Alligator mississippiensis: one gene and its partner. The protein of the gene in region 2 purifies or fractionates together with the protein of the main gene of each other region. This does not show direct contact. Links are inferred from orthologs where the notes say so. Each region holds a gene or a part of one and is shown on either strand. Other genes may lie near its edges.

Evidence for each region. The genes of interacting proteins can lie anywhere in the genome.
Region 1: the proteins of ELAVL1 (region 2) and IGF2BP1 purify together in Homo sapiens (co-immunoprecipitation; 3 studies listed by BioGRID and IntAct, with this or other methods). This does not show direct contact. The link is inferred for Alligator mississippiensis from reciprocal best matches to the Homo sapiens genes ELAVL1 and IGF2BP1.

The regions. Positions count from the first base shown.
Region 1 is NC_081827.1:168,520,588-168,530,233, forward strand, and holds the start of IGF2BP1 (insulin-like growth factor 2 mRNA-binding protein 1), read left to right. Parts: upstream 1-5,142; 5' UTR 5,143-5,607; coding exon 5,608-5,782; intron 5,783-7,133; coding exon 7,134-7,194; intron 7,195-9,646. UniProt on the Homo sapiens protein: RNA-binding factor that recruits target transcripts to cytoplasmic protein-RNA complexes (mRNPs). This transcript 'caging' into mRNPs allows mRNA transport and transient storage.
Region 2 is NC_081839.1:9,481,637-9,492,056, reverse strand, and holds the start of ELAVL1 (ELAV-like protein 1), read right to left. Parts: upstream 4,024-10,420; 5' UTR 3,916-4,023; intron 1-3,915. Other genes in the region: ZFR2 (zinc finger RNA-binding protein 2), read left to right, coding at 7,781-7,836. UniProt on the Homo sapiens protein: RNA-binding protein that binds to the 3'-UTR region of mRNAs and increases their stability.

The sequences.
Region 1 (9,646 bases), on a different chromosome or scaffold from region 2:
ATCTCACACTTAAGTGCCCTTTCACAGAGGGAAAAGTGTATTTTTGATCTTTTACTGTGGTATCCTGAATGCTTTATTCCTGTGTTTTGACACAACGTTACTTAAATACATAGATTTTATTTAAAGATGTTCACAGAATCAGTGGAAATTAAGCTAATTCACATCTCTATTTGGTTCTCAAATCTAACTAATCATTTCAGAATTAATTTTATTTTGAACAACTTCATCAGAACCAGCTGAAATCAGCTGAATCGTCTGAGATGAGAACTAGTCATGAATACTTTTGATGTAATATATAACATTGAACAAAAGGTAGTTTAAGCTGTGGTTCTAGTTATAATAAAATGAAATACATTATAGTGTTCCTTCTTCCTTTCAATTTGAATTGTCTCCCAAACATTATGACTACACATGCCTTGTATTCAGATTAATGTTAAGAGTTGACCTATAATTGAAATGGATCATTTCAATTAATATAATTTAAATGGATCATTTTTAAAAACAAAAAACCTTATTTCTGTGCTTTATATACTTTAGATGTTATTCAAGACTCTCAGCACATATTTGTTAGGTGTTACTAAACACATACTTTCAAACTTGCTGATTTAGATTTTTCAGAATTCTAAGTGTTTTTGAAACTATATTAATCTTACACAAACAAAATTAATTCCTTTATCAACAACTGGAAAATTAAATGAAGGAATGTAGAGAAATTTCTGTTTTTAACTAATTCTTGTTTGCTACCAGTGTACCATAAAGGTGATTTCAAGCACAAATAATTTATTGTTGTTAATCTGAAACAGAAAATAGTAGACTAATTATATTTTCTCATATTAACCCCATATTTTGCTGAAATCCCATGAGTCTTTTTTGCCAGCTCTTTCAATTCTCCTCCCAAAGGAATTTTTCTAAAAGTTTAAGAAATATTTGATATTTGTACTGGAAAATACATTGTAAAAATTCAACAAGAATCAATTTTTTGCCTGATCAGAAGATGTCAGTATAAAGATAAGGCTTTTACTAAACCATAAGCAAAAACTGCAAGCTGATGTAAAAGAAAAAGACGTACAAATTTTCCCTCAATTTAATGTCCAACCAATATACAAAAAAAGCAACTCTTCAAAGTGACTTTAAAAGTGCAACTTTGTTTAGAGAAATACTGAAAAAGGCCACAAACTTATTGATAAAACTAGTGCTGCTATTCATCTAATAAAAACTGTTGCTTATCATAGCATTTTCATTAACATTTCCCTTTTGGATTTTTGTTGCAATTGGTAACAGCTTTTAACTTTCCAAAAGCAAAAAATATTTCCCACTATAGGTTTTGTGTGTTTTGGGGGTGGGGAGGCTGGGTTGGGGGCAGGGGGGAAAGGAATTTTTCCTACAAGATACTCAGTTGGGATATGGAAGAATTAAGAATCAAGTTTAAAATGGTGTGACAGTCTTCTCTCACCATCTTCTTTAAGTGAATGAATACAGGTCTATTTTCCCCCCAAGTAGATCAATGATTTAACTGCTTCTTCTGTTTGCATTCTCTAAATACCTTGCATCTGGAATGCTCCAAGGGGAAGTCGTTTGACTGATACTCTTTCTTGTTTCAAATCTAAATTGAAGACTTCCCTCTTTGTTTGGATTGTTTTTAAGACTGGTTTCCTTAACTTAATTATTGCAAAGATTCTGAAACATGAAGAGTGGTCCCTGTAAATTAATAAACTATAACAAAAGTATTGTACCAAGTTTTGCTATAGATCTAAACCAAGCAGTGATCAAAACAACTCATTTATTTAGACTTGGGCACATTTGTCCACGGCATATTTCCGTGTGTGTAAATAGGTGAGCATTGCAGTTTTCAATTTAGTTGCAGAGAAGATTTGAAAGGCATTTTCTCTGCAATAGTAAGTTTCTTTAGAAATTTCAGAGCTCTGTTCTTTTCACCTGTAAATTTCAGGCTCGAATTACAAACTGAATGCCTCAGTAACATGAATATGGCCACAGCAGTTCCCTGCAAAGACTGCTCTGGTGAATTTAGTTTGGGACTTTAACAAGAGGTAGTAAGGGCAGCTAGGAGGTTGGTAACAAAACTTCTTGTGGTGAACAGCATCTGCATGTTTTTTTTTAAATCAGGGACCACAAGAAAATAGAAACTGGTTAGTATGCAGTGAAAAGCACAAATAATTTATCGTCTTAGAATCTTTAAAAAAAAAGATACTTCTCAATTCTCTTTAAGTTCTTAACTATCAGTGGCATCCAACACACACACTTTGTTAGCTGTAAGTGTAAATCACAGGAAATGAACACAACTTGAGTGGTTTAAACTTTATTTACTAACAAACCGTGAAAGCAATCTTTAATACAACCCCCCCCCCAACTATTTAGAAACATTTTAGAAATTAATTAATGTAAATATGGAACCACATTTGAGGGATAACCAAATCACCCTGGAGTGTATGTTAGTAGTGCATGTATCATTTTAGTGTCCAGAAAAAATCAAGCCAGAAGCCAAACACAAAAATCAAGCCTCCAAATAAGTACTTAGAAGAAATTTACTACCCTGCAGAAGGGTTACCAAGGGGAAAGGAAATGTAAAGTTAGCTTGTATATCAACGTTTCTGACCGATTAAAATAATACAGAAAATCCTTAACTAAGCAGTTTCCAGTTGAGTTTTACTGGAGGAGTTAAAACAGCTACAATGTTACTCACATGTGACTAGATTTCTTTCGAAACAGAATCAACAATAACAACAAAATCTCTATCTGTATCCTCTGGTGGAAAAAACAAACCAACCACGTGTTAGTAAATGTTACTGGGAACTACTGTAGTTAAATACAATAAAGGGAAGAAATGTGTCTATACTAATATTGGGAGTTTATAAACCATGTGTTGACTGTCCAGAATGTATTAATAACCCATCGGAAAAGGACCACAGGCTTTTTTTCCCCTTTTCTTTTCTTGAATGTCCATTTCAAGCAGTTGTGCTTGGGGGCTTACAAAGTCCAGCTATCTGGGTGAAGAATTAGCATCAGCGCGGCCGGCCCCACTGCTCTGCAGCCTGCAATTGTGCATTATATTATTATGATGCTTATTCTTTAAATGCTGCACGTCTGAGAAAGATCCCAGGCAGAACTGCTCTGCTCCTACTTTGCCCAATCCTCAGACATGAACAACCTGCTGCGGGAACTCGCAGCCCCTCCACGGGTAACGCGGCACAAGCAGCCTGCAAAGAAATCGGTTTATTCCAGCCGGTTAGAAACACTCTCACACACCATTTGGCCAACAGATTCCAGTGGGCTCCCCCGCCCCTTCCCCTGCAGCACAAACCACCAAGCTCCCAGTTGTACTGGGGAGGCATCAAGTAGGCTAGATCCCAGCTCAGGGAAAGGAAAGGGCCAAAGTTTTGCTTTTCTTGGGACAACTGGTGCCTCTTCGGGGACGTCTTCTCTGCTGCCTCTGGAAAGGGATTGTCAATGATTCCTTCACAGCCCCCCCCCGCACTCCCTCCCACCCACCCTCCTTCCTTCCTTCCTCCCTCCCCCTATGGATTTCCCTTCTTCCCCTGCTTTAATGACTGAGCTGACCTCAGAACAGGCTATTCTAGGAGCCGAAAGAGATCCACCCAGCGCAGGGACTGAGCTCACGAGATCATGGACTCTTCCCCTTGCCACACACCCCGGGAGACAATGAAGGCTTGCAATCCCCTTCCCCAGCCCTCTTCTACAAGGAGGGGGGGGGGGGCCGTTGCCATGGGGGGGAGGGGTTAGCACTTTGGCGCTGAACCCCGCACTCCCCCCCCTTCCATTCATGAAATCCAGCCTGCGCTCCTCGTGACCCAATGGACCCAAGTGGATACTCTGGGCCCCCCCCCCCGCTTCTTTAGAGGGGGAGGTTTTTTTTCTCCCCCCCCGCTCCCCACTGGAGGATGGGGAAGGAGGGACATGTGGCTAATTTTACACCGATCGCGAGCCTAAAAATAAAAGTCTCCCGAAAAGGCAGGCTGAGAATAGAGGCACTGCAAGAAGGGGGGGTGGGTGTGTGTGTGTGTGTAGAGTGGGGGAGGGTCCAGCCAGGCGGGTGTCCATTGCCGTGCACCGAATCGTAGCCGAGCCGCGAAGGGCAAGACCCGGGGGGTCCCGTCCAGCCGCGGCCACGAGCTGCAGGATGGCTCTGCGCCGGGCGCGGCTCCAGCCCCTGCCCCAAAGCCCGGCGCGGTGGGGGGGGCAGCCCAGAGCAAACCCTGCCCCTGGGGGAGCGGAGAGATCTGGGCACGGCTCCGCTCCTCTCCCCCCAGCACACACACGCACAGGGGAGCAGAGCGCCCTGCCATGCCAAAGTGTGCGCTGTGCGAGTGGGAAAGGGCTTCATTCATCCTTCCCTCGACAACGTGGTCTGGGCAAAAAAGGGGGCTGCGCCGTGCGGAGTTGCCGGAGCCCGATCTCCCTCCTTTGTGCCTTTTCTCCCTCCCCCCAGCCCAGCCACCACCTCCAGACTTGAGGGCTTCTGGTGGAAACAATGAGCGAGGGACACGTTTGCCGAGAGATCCCAGGGACCCATCCCAGCCCCAACCCCCCCACGAGCTGATCGATGCCTGGGTTTCATTGTTGTGCTCCCTTTTTCTTTATTGATCCCTGCACCCCACCCCGCGTGGTCCCAAACTGAAACTTCGCCTCTCTCGCCCAGCCCCACGGTGCGCCTGAATCCGCATTTCCTTTGATGAAGAAGTTTACACCCAGCAAAGGGAAGAAAAAAAAAAAGCCCATTCAAGCACTTGGAAGCCATGGGGGGAGGGGAAGCAAGAAGGGGAAGGGGAAGGGGGTGGGGGGAGCGCAGCCAGGATGGGGGTGGGTGGGTTTGATCGCGGAGGGAAGGCTGAGTTGGAAGAGGGCAGGGTGGTGGGGGCGGAGAGGGGGTGGGCTGGCATGAGGCCGGTGGAGAAGGCACCGAGACGTCAAGGCAGCCCAGGGGGGGAATGGTAAATAAAATAGTATTAAGGGGGAAAAAAAATAATAAGAAAAGGAATAAGCGAGGTGCCCACTCCCCCCGGCGGAGCGCGCCCCTCCTACTGCAGGGGCTGGTCCGTGTGCACGACCACGTGGCTTCCTCTTGCAAACATTTTCACTCATTTTTTCAGGTCGATTTTATTTAGAGGCGGTGCCAGGCAGGCTAAGAAACGTCCTGTGACATATGAGTGCGACTCAAAGGAGTTGGGGGGCTGAAAGAAAAGCGGCAGCACTTCCCCAGCCCGCCATACCAGTTGAACCAACCAACTCCCCCCATTGAGCCTGAAACAAGGAGAGCCAGCTCGGTCCCCCCCTCCCCCGGCCCCTCCCCGGCAGAAAAGCACACAACTTGCCTCCCCAGTTGGTGGACTCCAGTTGGAACTGGGAACTTTTTCTTGTCTTTCCTCTCGTCTCCCCCTCTCCTTTCTCTCCTTCCCCCTCCGGGGCTGAGCGGTGGCTTTTTTCCTCCCCCCCGCCCACCCCAACCCCGCTCATCTCTTCCGAGAGAGAGAAAGCAGAAAAGTTTCTCCCGCACTCTGCCACACCGCCCCCCCTCTCCCCTCTGACAGCCCCCCCGCCCCCCCACCGCCCTCCCCAGCTCCGGGAGCCACCATGAACAAGCTGTACATTGGGAACCTAAACGAAAACGTGACTCCAGCAGATTTGGAGAAAGTCTTCAATGACCACAAGATCTCCTTCAGTGGCCAGTTCCTGGTGAAATCTGGCTATGCCTTTGTGGATTGCCCTGATGAGCAATGGGCCATGAAAGCCATCGAAACTTTTTCTGGTAAGCAGATTATCTCTCTCTGTCTCCCCCCCCCTACGCCCCCCGGCCCCGCTCCCCCCGGCCCCCTCTCCTCCTGGGGCTGCAGCAGGAGCCGGAGCATCGCGACGGAAGAAAGGGATCCCGGCGGCGGCGTGGAGCGGGATCGCGGCCCCCTCCCACCCTCCTGCTCATGGTTCCCCGAGTTCGTCTCCCTGCTGAACGGCCACGGCCCTCCCATTCCGCGTCCATTCCCAGGGCCTCGCACGGATCCCCCCGGGGCTGGGGGAGGCCCCCCGGCCAAGTCACTCGGGGGGAACCTGGCCTCCCCGATCCACTCCCCCTGCCTTCCAAAACAGAGAAAGAAATACACGAAGAAGAAGAAACATAATAATCATAATAAAAAAGGAGAAGCCCTTGGGAAGGCGAAGGGCCAGACCGATCGCTCTCCTCCCTCCCCGGCCTGCAGCCTCCCCAGAGAGCACCCCCTCCTCGGCATGCGAGCCCCTGGACCCAGCACCCGGGCTGCCCCCTTCCTCCAGTGTGGGCGATCATTCCACCCCCCCCCAAATACCCGCCTCCCCTCCCCCCTTGCAAGCAGCACCAGGCCTTTGGGGTGCCCAGGCGCCTGGCCCTCCACTCTGCCCCCCACCCCAGGCCAGTGGGGCCCTGGCGAGTGTCGGGGTCCCATCGGCAGGAGGGGTGGTGGGCTTGGATCTTGGCCATTTTGATTTGAAACTGGGTTTCCTGGGGCATGTGATGTGTGTAGTAGCGCGAAGGTCGCCATGCTGTTCTCAGAGAGAGAGAGAGAAACTACTAGGGAAGCAAATACATTTTTGATTCTCCCAAGATCTCCCAAACTCCAATCCACACCCCCCACCCTATTTTCTCCCCCCAAAAGCAGCCGATCGCAGAGCACGTCTCTCCGTTTGCAAAGGGGAGGCCCATTTCTTCTCCTGAGTCGTATTTTATTATTATTGTTTTTAGCCCTTGCATGAGAAACGTGCCCCTAGGAGTCCTGGAAAAAATGATTTTTTTTGCCCCCCTTTTATTAATCTTAAAATGTAATTCCTTTTTTTTTTCTTTCTTTCTCTGGAGCATGCCTCTTCTCAATACACTGAGCAGTATGATAAGGAATTAAATGTTCCTGGGCAACATTGTCCTGGCAGCTACACACCACTCCCTCCCAGTCCTTCCCAGTTGGAGGCCAGTTTTATATTTAATAAAGTGCACTTGCAAAAGGACCAGAAAATGTATTTTTGTGTGCAGTCCAGCATCATTTGAATTAAAATGCAAGGTTTCACATGAGAGAATGTTATCCAAGTCTTTCTGACCCCCCACCCAGATTTAAAAAAAGGACACATTTTGTTTTTAGGGAAAGTGGAGCTACATGGAAAACAGCTAGAGATTGAACATTCAGTTCCTAAAAAGCAAAGGTAATACAGCATTTTAATTTCTTTTATTTTTTCCCTGTTGAAAAATAGCTAAGGTAATGATAAATAAAAATACCAGCCCAAATACGTGCATGTGAAATTAGATGTGATATAGAGGTTTGGGGGACTTGAGATGTGCCCCAAGCTAGGCACGAGTCAGTGCTGATCTTCTTTATGTGGGTTTTTTTACATTTATTTTTTAAAGTTACTTTGTAAGTAAGTTTTAAGAAATGATTACAAATGATGCAGTAGTTTACTCAAGGTGGTGTATGACTGAGATCTGTTTTTAGGTTTCCAATACATGTGAGGCCAGAAGTTCTCTCTCGCTCTCTTTTAAGCTGTATAGTTTCCAGTTAGTTTGATCACTTTTCTTTTTCTTTCTTTCTTTTTTGTTTTCAATTATAACATTTAATAAGGTAAATTTATTTTTTTTTAATAAGGACTTGTTTGAATATTTCATGCAGGGAGTGTATTTTAAATAAATTGCAGGGAGGGAACTGGTTGTACTGGAGAACTCTTACTGAGTGGTCTGTAATGATTTCACTTGCCTTATTTTTGCTTTAAACAGAAAAATAGAGTCTTTCTGTTTTTAAATGGATGCTATTTCTCCAGCTAGATTTTAAAGAAGCGTACAGTCGAGGTCTCCATGCCCTTGGCCTTTTGTTGAGGGATCCTCTTGTGTTAAGGAATTATTCTGGCTACAATGTAGATACTTTGCAGTTTAGGGGAAGATACCACACAGAGGAGGAGAAATCCCCAAATAATGAATGGCAATGGCTTTTTAGAAAAAAAAAAAGTATTTTCTCCACCTCATTGGGAGCAGGAGATTTGGCCCAAGATACAAATAGTCCACGTTGAATTCTAGCAGAATCTATAGTACACTTCATCCACGTGATCAGGCAGTTACTTCAGCAGCAGAGCAGAAGGGAGGTGGTGAAACAGATCATTTATTGCCTGTTTTCCCTTCTTTAGGATTGACAAAATATATCAACAAGGCACTAGTGACATCTTACAGGGAAAAGCTAGGCCTGAACCATTTGTTGGGCTTTTAAACTTTCTCACCAATTTGCTAGTTCAAGCCCAGGGGCTGAAAACTGGATCTTCTATAACACATTATAGGTTAATGAGACCCAGAAGGTTTAGCTCCAAACCAAAAATCTAATAATTTCTTATCAAATATTTTAGCAACAAGACCCATCTCATGTATATAGACAATCAATATTGCTTGTTACAGTGTTCAAAGACTTGCTGTGGTTTAAATATCAATTGAATGGAATGTTATTGGAAAGGCAATTACAGTATGAAAGGTAACATAATAAAATCGAAAAAGTCTGATTTTTTTTTTCCTTAGCACTGCTAGAAAAATCAATAGGTGAATACAGTAGATTTTGAGATATTTCTTAGTTCATTTATCCTAACCTTTTTTCATACTTTCTTAATAATAGCAAAGGAGAAATTATACTGAAAGGTAAACATTTCCTGACTGTGTATTTCAAACAAATTGTGATTTAAACTTTATAATAAGTGGAATCAAACTTAAGGTTAGTTAGCAGATTTCAGGGAGACACAGGAGAAATAAAATTAATTACATACAGATCCTAAATTCTATGGCGTGGTGTGTTTTTATAGTTATATATACCCCCATCTGCTTTCTTTAAAGCTACAGGAGCCATTTTTGATGTTGACTTTCTCCCTTAAAGTGTTTTATTTGAAGTAGCTTTATTAGTACAAGACTGTGATGTTTCTCAGGTTGGATACATTCATTTATCACTTGATTTTTTGATAAAGTTACACTGTCTTGATTTCCTAAGACAGACTTGTATTTCTGTTTTCTAAATGTGGCCTTAAAATGTTAATAGATTTAGGAAGTTAACTAAAAAAAAGAAAAAAAAATGTAAAATGATGATACACCATCTAATAAGATTATTTTTGTCTAAGAGTGAGGTGATGTTAGTGGCTGTGTTTCTAAGTGTTTCCTTTTTTCTGGTTGTTTTGGGACTGGATTTTCCAGTCGAAGGACATACAGAGCAGGAAATAGTTAATTAGGTATGATTAACAAGGATTCAGATGTTGTTAGTATAATTTTTAAAAAACCTGATGAGACACAAACTTTGAAGCATAGAAACTTAGAAAATGAAGCCACATTCACTCATGTGCTTTTCAGAGAGTTTTACAACTAAAATGTTGACTTGTTGCTTAGATCTCTTTTGTTACAAGAACTAAAACTGATAAATGCTAAATAAGACTAAAGTTGATGTGTTTTGGAAATTAATATATTTCAGGAAACTGCATATCACAGTTAGTTCTTTCTTGATTGTTTCTTTTCTTCTTATAAAATGTGTCTTCTCTTCTCATCCCTAACAAACATGAATTAAAATATTGAGAATGTGTCAGTGTTAGATGTGAGAGAATTGCTGGAGTACATTTGTGCAAAGTGTAAGAGAGTTACAAATTC
Region 2 (10,420 bases):
TACTGAAGTACATGCCTGATCAACTAACTTCACATATGGTGGTTCTTCCCTTGCTGAGGAAAGCCTGCAGAACTTATCCCAACAACTCACTATTATAAGAGTGCTACAGATAAAGGTAGGAGACCCTCTCAATAAAAACAGAAAAACAGAGTTGCTTTTGTAGCCCAAACACCTAGGGTCTCAGATCATGACAAAAAAAAACACGGCCAGAATAATCTCATCTCCACTACTTCAAAACTTATGAGACTTTCCTGAGATGCAAGAGCTAGAGAAAGTGCAAAGCCCAACAAGTGCTATCACCCCAAACATCCCCCTTTTCACCACAAACCCAACACCAGAGCTTCATGTTCTGCCAAGCTTCTATAAATTGCAGCAAAAACCAGCATCTGTCTAAGGCCCTGAAAACACACTGTATTTCATTCTTCTCCAGGCACAAATTCTCCCTTGCATATACTCTCCATCATGTTTTCAGGCTCTCCCATCCCTACTTTCCCCCTAGCATTCCAGGAATGCTGACTGAGACCTAAAAATGAATGGAAAGTAATTTAGACAGAAATCATTTACAGTATCATTAATTCCAAAGCTTTTTTTTTTTTTTTTTTTTTAATAAACTAACAAGATTATGAGCAAGAGAAAACTTCAAGCTAGCACATCCACTCGCACATTTTTTAAAAAGTGAGAAAATGACCTTTGGGATCTTTGTTTAAGGCTCATACATCCCATTATCTGCTCTCACTCAGTCTCCAACAAAATGCACCTCAAGTACTCACAATATATGCACCATATTTGTTTGGCCTCAAAACATCAAAACCCCCAGAAGAGGTGACTACTGGCAAAAGTAGGTTCGGCATATCAATGAACTCTAGTCTCAGGTACTCGACTCCCACCATTTCAGTGGTCTAAGTAGTAGATGTTTGCTGGCAAAATCTTACTATACTTCTATTTTAGTTTAAATTAGTAAAATAAGTTTATGCTTTTGTGTATATATGACACAATTTTAAAGAAAGACATTTAAAGTATCATTCTTATACACTCAGCTTTATTTTTCTACCATGTAAATGCTTATACCACCCCCTCCAGAAAGGTTACAAGAAGGCTGAAACCTCTATCAGTTTCCGGGTCTGACACGTAATCTTTAGCTTAGCAAACAAAGATAACTGCCCTGGAGAAGAATGTTTTTCTTAATTTTGCCAGCAGTGAGACAAATTACAACCAGTTCATTCAGAGTGGAATTAACAACACTAAGGGCCAGGACAAGGGACAGAATGGAAGCTACCATAAATGCCATCCTTACCTCTCCAAAGCTGTTTCAACAGATGAAAGGTCACGGCACTCTCCCCAAATCCCCTCTGAGTAACGAGAGTACATGGGACCAGCTTGGAATTCTGCAATCATGGTCTAAGCCAAGGGTATCAAACTGGTTTGGCTTCCTGGGCCAGATGTGGACCATGGGGTCCTCAGACCCACCTCTGGCAAGAACTGTAATTCCCAGCTGTACAGAGCCAAGAATTGGCTGTTGTCTACACTCTCATTTCAGTAGATCAAGTGCTGTTGATCGGATTTGTAATGTACAGAGAAGGTGACAGCAAGCAAAAGCAGAACAGAATGGAGATGCCAGCTTGTTCAGTCTCTAGAAGATGGCCTGTTAACCACCAGACTGAGTAGAGAGTGGAGCTTCCTAACCCTCTCCTCAGAAGACCAAGGAAAGAAAGGAATTGTAACTTAACCCTTTCTCCTTTTATAAAACAAGGAGGGACCAGAGTCAGTGAACATTATCACAGTCCTAACTTTTACGGTATACCTGAAACAAGTTAAAGGCAATAACTTTTTTAATAGGTTTTGTACACATCAGTTAAATCCAATGATACAACTCTCCCCACATGTACATACATGAGTAGCACCAACACCCTGGTGCTTCTACATACTAAGGTCATGCACCCCTAAGTTCCAAGACACAGGAGAGCTACCCAACTTAAATTTCAGAAAGGAAAAATTTATCTTATCCTGGAATTCCATATGCCAGTAGATTGAAACCCTCAAAGTTAGAGGGAAACTCAGAATGACTTCTATTTTTACAATTTATCTACACTACAAAATGTACATAAACAGCTGTTTCAGAATACCTGCTTTGGGACATTTCCAAGCATGAACAAGCTGTAAAAGTTTTCTATAACTACCAAATAGTCTGAGCCTCAGAGACAATAAAGGTCTCTCAAAACTAAATGTTTGTTTTGATACAACCTTCATTTCAGTCCTACTAACGTGTTATAAGATAGCTTTACCCCAGAAGGCCTTGCACCTGAAATCAGATAGCTACGTAAAAACCATCACCCCTGCGGAAAAAAGAGGGCACAGGCTGGTGAACTTGCTTTCAAGGGACAGGCTTTAAAAGAAAAGGGGCATGGTTCTATAGACGGAGACAAGGTGGTCAGTTTAGCTGCAGAAAGTAAAAGTAACAGAAGGTATAAAAATTCAAAATGAGGGGAGGGGAGAAAAACAAAGCCCCAAAGGAATAAGGCAAGAAGATGGGAAACAAAGTAGATTTAATGTAGCGATGGAAGAGGAAAGGCTGCACAGAGATTTCAATGATGATTATGTGCCTAATTCATGCATTTTATGTGCACGGAGACAGGAAACCACAGATCAGACTCAAAATATAGTTACAGAAAAGGCAAATATATGCAGCAGTAACTAGTGCAGTTGGTGAGAGAAGAGAGAAAAGAACAGGAGACTAAATAAGTTGCTACCACAGGTAAAGGTGAGAAGTGACCAAGATAAGGACAAACCAATAATACAGGCTAAGCTTAAGTTAAAAAAGAAACAACAAGGTCTTGCCAAAAAAAGCAAAAGAGGGTCAGAGGAGTACAGTAAAAGGTCACGCAAAGAACACAATAAAAGTACAACTGTTGGTGCACACAGAAAGGATTATATTTTGAACAGACTGCTGCCATCCCCACACATGGAACGCAGGGCGTACGGACCAATAGCACCAACACCCAAAGCAGTTCAGTTTTAGAGAAACAGCTTGAAATGGCAGTGGGACACCCCAAAACAAAACACCAGAGACAGCCAGGCTAGACAGGGAAATGCCACAGCCACGGCAAGTCTGGTCAGAGAAGCTAGAAGTCGTCAAAACCGGAGCGGACGGAAAGGTGCGAGCGGGCGGCGAGGATGAAGCCGTTTGAAGTCAAAATCAACTCTGCCTAGAAAATCGGAAGCCACCACCCGTTAGGGCAGGTAGATGGAAGAGGAGAAGGAGGGGTGACAAGCCCCAGCACAACCAGTGACCGCCTGTGCCAGCAGCAGCAACACCCGGGAAAACAGGCCGTGCTCGAGTCCGCCGGTGATGCTGTGCTCTGCCGTTTCTTTCTCTCCATTGCGATCCGCGGGGCCTACACGGACATCCCGCCTCCTCCCGCACACGTGCCTCCCCGCCGGTGCCCGGCCCCCCGGCCTCGCACGAGGGAGCCGCGCGCCAGGCTCGCCCGCCCGGACAAACCCCGCCCGGCGCCGCGCCGCGCCGCGCCGCTCTGCTCTGGGCCGGGCCGGGCCGGGCCGGGCCGGGCCGGGCCGGGCCGGGGGCGGCTCAGGGCAGAAGCGCGATGGGGACAAAAAGCAGCGAGTCGCCGCCGCGGCACGGCGCCTTCCCGCGGCGCCCGCGCAAGCGCAGCAGGCCCCAGGCAGGCCTCGGCCGGCCCGCGCCTCGCTCCGCTCCCCGCAGCGCCGGGCCCTGCCGCGCGCCCGCCGCCGCCCCAGGCCCCGGCTCCGCCGCCCCAGGCCCAGGCGCAGGCCGCGCCGCCCGTCGCGTCCCGCTGCTCCCCCAGCGGCGGCGGTGGCAGGCCCGGCCCGGCTGCCCCCGCGCCTCAGCACCGGCCTCCCGCGCGCGCACCCGCCCGGGCCGCCCGCCTGCCTCACCCGTCAGGACTCCGGCGGGGCCTGGAAGCAGCACGAACGGCTCCGCAGCGCACAACAAGCCGCTCGCAGCGCCGCTGGCCACGCCCCCGCCCCGCCCGCCGAGCCCCATTGGCTGCGCGGCCCACGTGCCAGAGGAGCCATTGGAGCGGCCGCCCGCCCGTCACTTGCGGACCGGAGGCGGAACCTCCCGGTGGGGGGGAGGGGGTCCGGAGTCCCCCATCCTCAGTCCTCCCTCCATCCCCGGCGCGGGCGGGCGGAGACTTGCCCCGCGGGGCTTCCTCGCTAGGCCAGGCCGCATCGTTCCCTGGGCTGCGTGCAGCACCCCCGCCGGCCTCGCGGGGCACCAGCGCGCCCGGGAGCCCCTGGTGTCAGCGCTCCGTGGGGGCTGGACGAGGCACCTCTTCCTTGTCCACCTCGTGAGGCAAAGTGCGAGGTGGAGCCGGCGGAACGGCCTTGCAGGCGCCAGGGTTTCTTTCCTGCGGGGCTGGGGTTGGCATCGCGGGAGGTTTGCCCGCAGGGCCTGGAGGGCAGGAGACACGCGTTGTAGTGGTGACGAGCAGCAAGGCCCAGCTTGGGGGTGGTAGTTGGCACCATTCACACTTGTTGGCCCTTCCTCTCTGTCAAACAAAAGGACATTTTTGGCCAGAGATAATCCATGGGCGCCCCAAACAATCCATTTTTCATAGGGGCGGGTTTGTAAAATCCCTTCCACGTCCCTTCCCGTCAAGCATTCAATCCCACTTCCATCTGCAGGGATGGAACGAAACGCCCCTCACTCTCCGTGGCTGCTATTTTCAGCACAATAAGGCAGTACGGGTTGAAATCTAAAAAGGAAAATGCCTGGAAATGCTCTTCCTTGACGTAAAGAAATGGACAGGATAAAACTCAAGATAAAGGACATCAGAAAATGATTTTTTCTTCAATTTTTGTGAGATATTTTTCTTTACAGTAAATGTTACGCAAGCGCAAATGTATGATTCTGTATTTAATAATAATATACGTCGCAGCTGTAAATGTGAGCTAACGCTTTTTGGTGGAATGCAGGTAAATTTGGATCTGCCAAAGGTATACAATTGAGGTGATATGATCACACATACAGATGTGTTTGCTGTCATCCATCCCTGTATCTGTATGTGGACTGCCCATAAATTGTCATTATTTTGGAATACATGAAAAATCAGAAACTGAAAATGCAAATAATTTTCTTCAAGCCATCTTGAGTTTTAATAGATTTCAACTTTATTAATGCCAATGGTTTTGTTTGGCACTTCTGGACTCATGAATACTTAGTTTGCTGGTTGCCCAGTGAATCCTATTCAACTAGTCATGTTCTAATGGCCCGTAAATTTGGGGCTATTCTAATTTCCAGTTTGCGGACATGACACTGGCATTTGGAGCAGCCCCATCTCTGTCACAGGCTGGGGGGACACCTGATCATGTAGAAAGTATTGAGAGGCAGCTTCATACCAGCTTTAGTAAAAAAGACTAACCATTAGGGGAGGGAAGCCATGACATTACATTAGCCTGACTCTTCTTCCTCACGGTTACCTTGGGAAGGCTCCACATGATGTACATTTCAAACCTGGCTGATCCTGATATAGAGGCTTTGTGAAAATACTGAAGATATTTGGACACCTGCCATCGCCTGAATTTGCTGTTTGCCAGCTATCATGTTACAGTTTTCTCACTCATATGATGGCAGCCTTCTGTTATCACCAGTCTTGGGTTTTCTCAAATAATACTGAGTTTAATCCTCACAACTGTCTCTAGAAAGGTCATGGGTGTCTTAAAACCCTTTCAGTCTCCAAAACCCTCTGAGCCCTTGAAGTCCAAACTTCAGCTCAGAGTGAGGCCATACTGAGTCTTTGTCCTGTTTTACCACGTGACATTTTTATGCCATGGCATCACTTCATAACACAAGCATATATTCAGTTGCAGTGCAAGAAAACCGTTGTTGTGTAAAGTTGTGATGATTTGAAGCAGCAGCACTTTTGATTTATGCTTTTTTTAAAGTGTGGTGTTATATTACTGCAGTGTCTTAGATCTGTCATGATGTTTTGATTCAACATACTGACACATCTGTGTAGTGCTTTCATGTTGCATTATGATATGGAATCAAAAAATGTGATGCTCATTGGCACAGTGCTACCATGATGATGCAGTGTGGTGACATTTAGCACATCATAAAACACATTGAGTCTAGTATGTTGGCATATGGAGCATGAATTATTTTTGGTGCAATTAAATCATATTGTATTGATATTTTAAGAAAATTGAGAACATGACTGCTCTCTATAAATACATTATAGGAGAATTTAGGAAGGGAAGGGAGCTGTTTAAGGTAATGGACAAGGTTGGCATAATAACAAATGGGGACAGTGTGGCTTGAATAAATTTAGGCTGGAAATTAGAAGACTTATAAGCATCAGAGTGAGATTCTAGAAGAGCCTTCCAATATGAGTAGTGGAGGCAAAATACCTAACTAGTTTTAAAATGGAGCTTGATGAATGTTGTTGGCAATCCCTTGATTTGAGGATGATCTTTACCACATCTTACTGATGGATCTTGAGTTGACATAAGTGTTCAATCCTTGAGCCACAGATCCGTCCACAGAAGTTGCAGGTCTTTCTGCAGGGCGGAGTTGGATGTACGCTGGGATTTCACTCATTTTCCTTCCCCTGCTCTCTCTCCCGTGCTTTGAGAGCAAGGCGTTTTACCTCAGAATTGGCTGCCACTTGGTTGAGGTTCCAGTGCCATTGGAGTGAGTTGGCACCCAGCTTTTCCCAGCTCTTGATGTTGGCATCTGTTTTCTTGTGGTCTGCCTTGAATGTGTCCTGGTACCATTTCCTCTGGCCACAAGAGCTCAGGCTATAGCTAAACTGGGAGTAGAGCACTTGTTTTGGGAGTCAGGAGTCAGACATCTGCACACATCCAATTCAGCACGGCTGGTGCTTGAGGATCGCCAGCTCGTGGCTGGTAACTGGTTTCAGCAAAAATATTGGTGTTTGTGTGGCTGTCTTCCCATTTGATGTGGAGGATTTTCTTGAGCCTTGATCAACCTATTCATAGGATTATTTGACATGGATGCCTGAACGTAGCCTGGCACTGGAACCAGAAGGTCCTTTCCTTGTCATGTTCCTATGACACTTCAGCAACACCATGACGTTTAAGACTGGGTAATGAGGCTGTAACACTGGAGAGTGAAAGGGGTGTTGGTCGTAGCCGTGTTGGTCTAAGAACATAGGCAGACAAAGTTATTTGGGTAAATTTGGTATTTTTTATAAGCCCAACTGAGTTGGTGTAATAAAAGATACCAGATTTATTCAAAGAAACTTGTCTGTCTTTGGAAAGTGCAGTGCACTGGAAGATGCACACTGGCTTCACATTGAAACGATGCTGGGCAGAGCTCTAGGGCCCTGCTCCATGTTACATGCATTGCACAATTAACGAGTTACTCGCACAGTAAATTTAGACAGGCCACAAGTGCACACTAATTATCATGCAATTAACCAGTTAATCGTGCAATAAATCTGGTCCTCCCACGCATGCAAAAAGTCCTTATCACACCATCAAAATGTCTATCCAGCTGTAGAAAGAGGCAACCAGTCATGAAGCCGCTGCTCGAGAGCTCTCCCGCCGGTTTCTATCGGGTGCGGCGGGGACAGGACAGGCTCCCATGCGGCTGGGCGCGCAGGGACCGCCGCCCGGGGAAGCCGCCAGGGGGCGCCAAGCGGCCGCGTGACGAGCCGGGCTTGCGCCACCGCGCAGGGCCCCACGTGACCACGCTTCCGGCCGCACGCGCGGGGGGCGGGGCCCGCTCGGAGTCACGTGGCCTCGTGCGCTGCCGGGCTGTGAGGACGCCAAGATGGCGGCCAGCAACTACTACAGCTTCCCTCACGGCGCCGCCGGGCCGCAGTACAGGTAACGGGGCCGCGCCCCAGCTCCGCCCCGCTGCTTTGCTCGGGGCCGGCCCGGGTGGCGGGAGGTGGGTGTGGGGCGCAGCGGCGAGCCGCGCGGGGAAGCCCGGGGCGAGATTGACCCGCCCCTGCCGAGCGCCCGTGGCTCCTCGTCCGCCTGCGCCGCTCCCCGCCTCCTCCTCAGAGCCCGGCCGCGGTGCCCGCTTCCTGCTGCCCGCCCGCTGCCTCCGCGGCTCTACTTGTCGTCGTCCTCCCCCTGCCTCCTTCCCCGCCCCTCGGGTGCCCTCCGTCCCGCGCCGGGATGCCTCGGTCCCCGCAGCCGCTGGGGCTCCCGGCTTCTTCCGCACCGAGGCTGGAGGCTACACCTGCCGGATCCCTTCTTCTCCATCATCCCTGGAGAGCGGATTTCGGTGCCTGCGTCATGCTCCAGCACCGTCGGTCCTCTCCGTGTCTCCCTAGGCTTGCTGCCTATGAGGATTTGCTCCCGTGCTCTTCCTGGATTTCTTTGCCCTCCACTACATCCCCCCCAAAAGAATCCTCTGTTTCAGCCCGGGAGCGCACCCTGGCCGCTGTCATCTTGCCTTTTCCAGGGTTCCCTCGGGCTGCATGTTTTATTGCTTTTCTGAATGATGTTTCTCTCCCTTATTCTCCTCCCTCCCACTGCACTCGTCATCTTTTACTGTTCACTTCTTTTTTCTTCCTGGGTTGCTCACTTCTCTATCTACTTCACTTTCTTGGGGTGCTGTATGTCCTTCCAAGTACCCCATTTGCTTCCCTTTTGTTCCTTGTACGCTCCATTTTCTCTAAGGCTTCCATTACTGTGGGTTGCTGCCTGTTCCGGTGATGCTTCAGGCCTGCTGTTAAGGATTTTACTTAATCTCTTCTCTGTCATCCACCTTCCCTTGGACGTCCCTTGTCAAAGGATCCTTTTGTCCGTTCCTTCTAATGATAACTATATTCCCTGCTTTCTTTTAGCAATTCCCTTTTCCGTTTCCATAGTGTTTTCATTACTTCTACCCTCTCATCCCTTTCTCCAAGATCTCACCTCGTCATTTTCCTGAGATGCGTTGTCTCCTCCAGGAATTCCCTTTTCCTGCTTCCTATAAGTAAAACTCTCGCGCTACCTCATGGTTTCTCTTGCAAAAGTACGTCTTCGCTGCAGAGTTAAACCCCACTTAGTAACTCCAGTTATTTCTTTCAAATTAGCTTACTAAAATAAATCAAGTTGCTATGCTCACAGTGAGGTTGCATTCGTTTGTATGTAGTATTTTTTTAGAGGTGCATTGATGTATTGGTGGCATATCAGATCAGCAATGGTAAAAGGAAAATTAACATTATCGGTAGTTGGGTTTTTTTGGCCAGTATAACAAAGAACGTCACCTGTAAATTCCCCGTGCATGCGTGCATGTGGCCAGGAGTGCAGCCCAGCAGCTTGGAGAGCAGTGTCTGGCTGGTAAGTCTGTGGAGAGGAAGGGGTGTGGGGGGGAGCAGATGGGGGGGCCCCCCATGGTGAGGGAGGGGCTTAGGCAGGGGCAGATGTTGCCCAGCCAGGGTGGTGAATGCAACCCTGGGACGGAGCGCGATGCAGGGCAGATCAGCAGGTGACTTGTCTTGGGAGGGGGGCTCCCTGTCACACAGTCCCCTGGGAGAGGAATGGGGGGCATGTGGCCCCCCTAGACTTGTGCATAGGACAAGCTGCCTGCTGCAGGCTTGGGGCCAAGGGCTGTGCTGGCTTCTTCCCAGTGGAAGGGAGGCTGGGCAGGGGCGGGGTGGGTGGATGGTGCTGGGAGGGGTGGCTATATACCACCCTGTAGCCACCCCTCACAGTGCCATTGCCACCCACAGTGCGCAGCCTGCCCTTGCCCTGCACACATCTGGGGGGCACATGCCCCCCCCATACCTTTCCAGGGGTGCATGCAGATGCAGGGAGCTGCCTCCCATGGGCCTGATGAGCCACCCACAGGTCTGCCCTGCACCCCGCCTCATCTTAGGGTCCTGGCTGAGCAGCCCCTGTCCCTGCCTCTGTCTGTCACCATAGGTGCCTTGATCTGCACCCCCCATGCTCTTCCCTCCGCCCTGCCCCTTCACCCTCCACAGACTTACCAGCTGGGCACTTCTCCAAACTGCCGGGCTGCATTCCAGTAAATCAACTATTGAATTGGTATCAGCCGAAATGGCTGGTTAATAATCAGCCATCGGTATCTCAATCAAGAAAATCTTTATTGGTGCACTTCTAGTAGTTTGATTTCTGGAGGCATACCTAATGGTTTCCAGCTCACTGCAGTGAGCCAAGCCATTCTATGAATTCTTTCCCAGTGAATTTTGGGCTAACTTGTCCATCCCTACAAGGCACTGAGAGAGGATTCTAGGAAGGCTTTTGAAGAGTAGCAAAATCCCCTAAATTATCACTCCAGAGTAGAGACCTTCCAAATGCATGATTTCACAGATTTCATGGAAATCGCATAATTGGCAGTCTCCCATTAAATAGCCGGTTCCCCATGAAAAAGCACAAGGAACTGGTTATGTTCAAAGAGCTGGCAAAAAGCGATCTCCTAGAAGGGTGAGGGAAGGTGGAAGGGAGCAAAGAG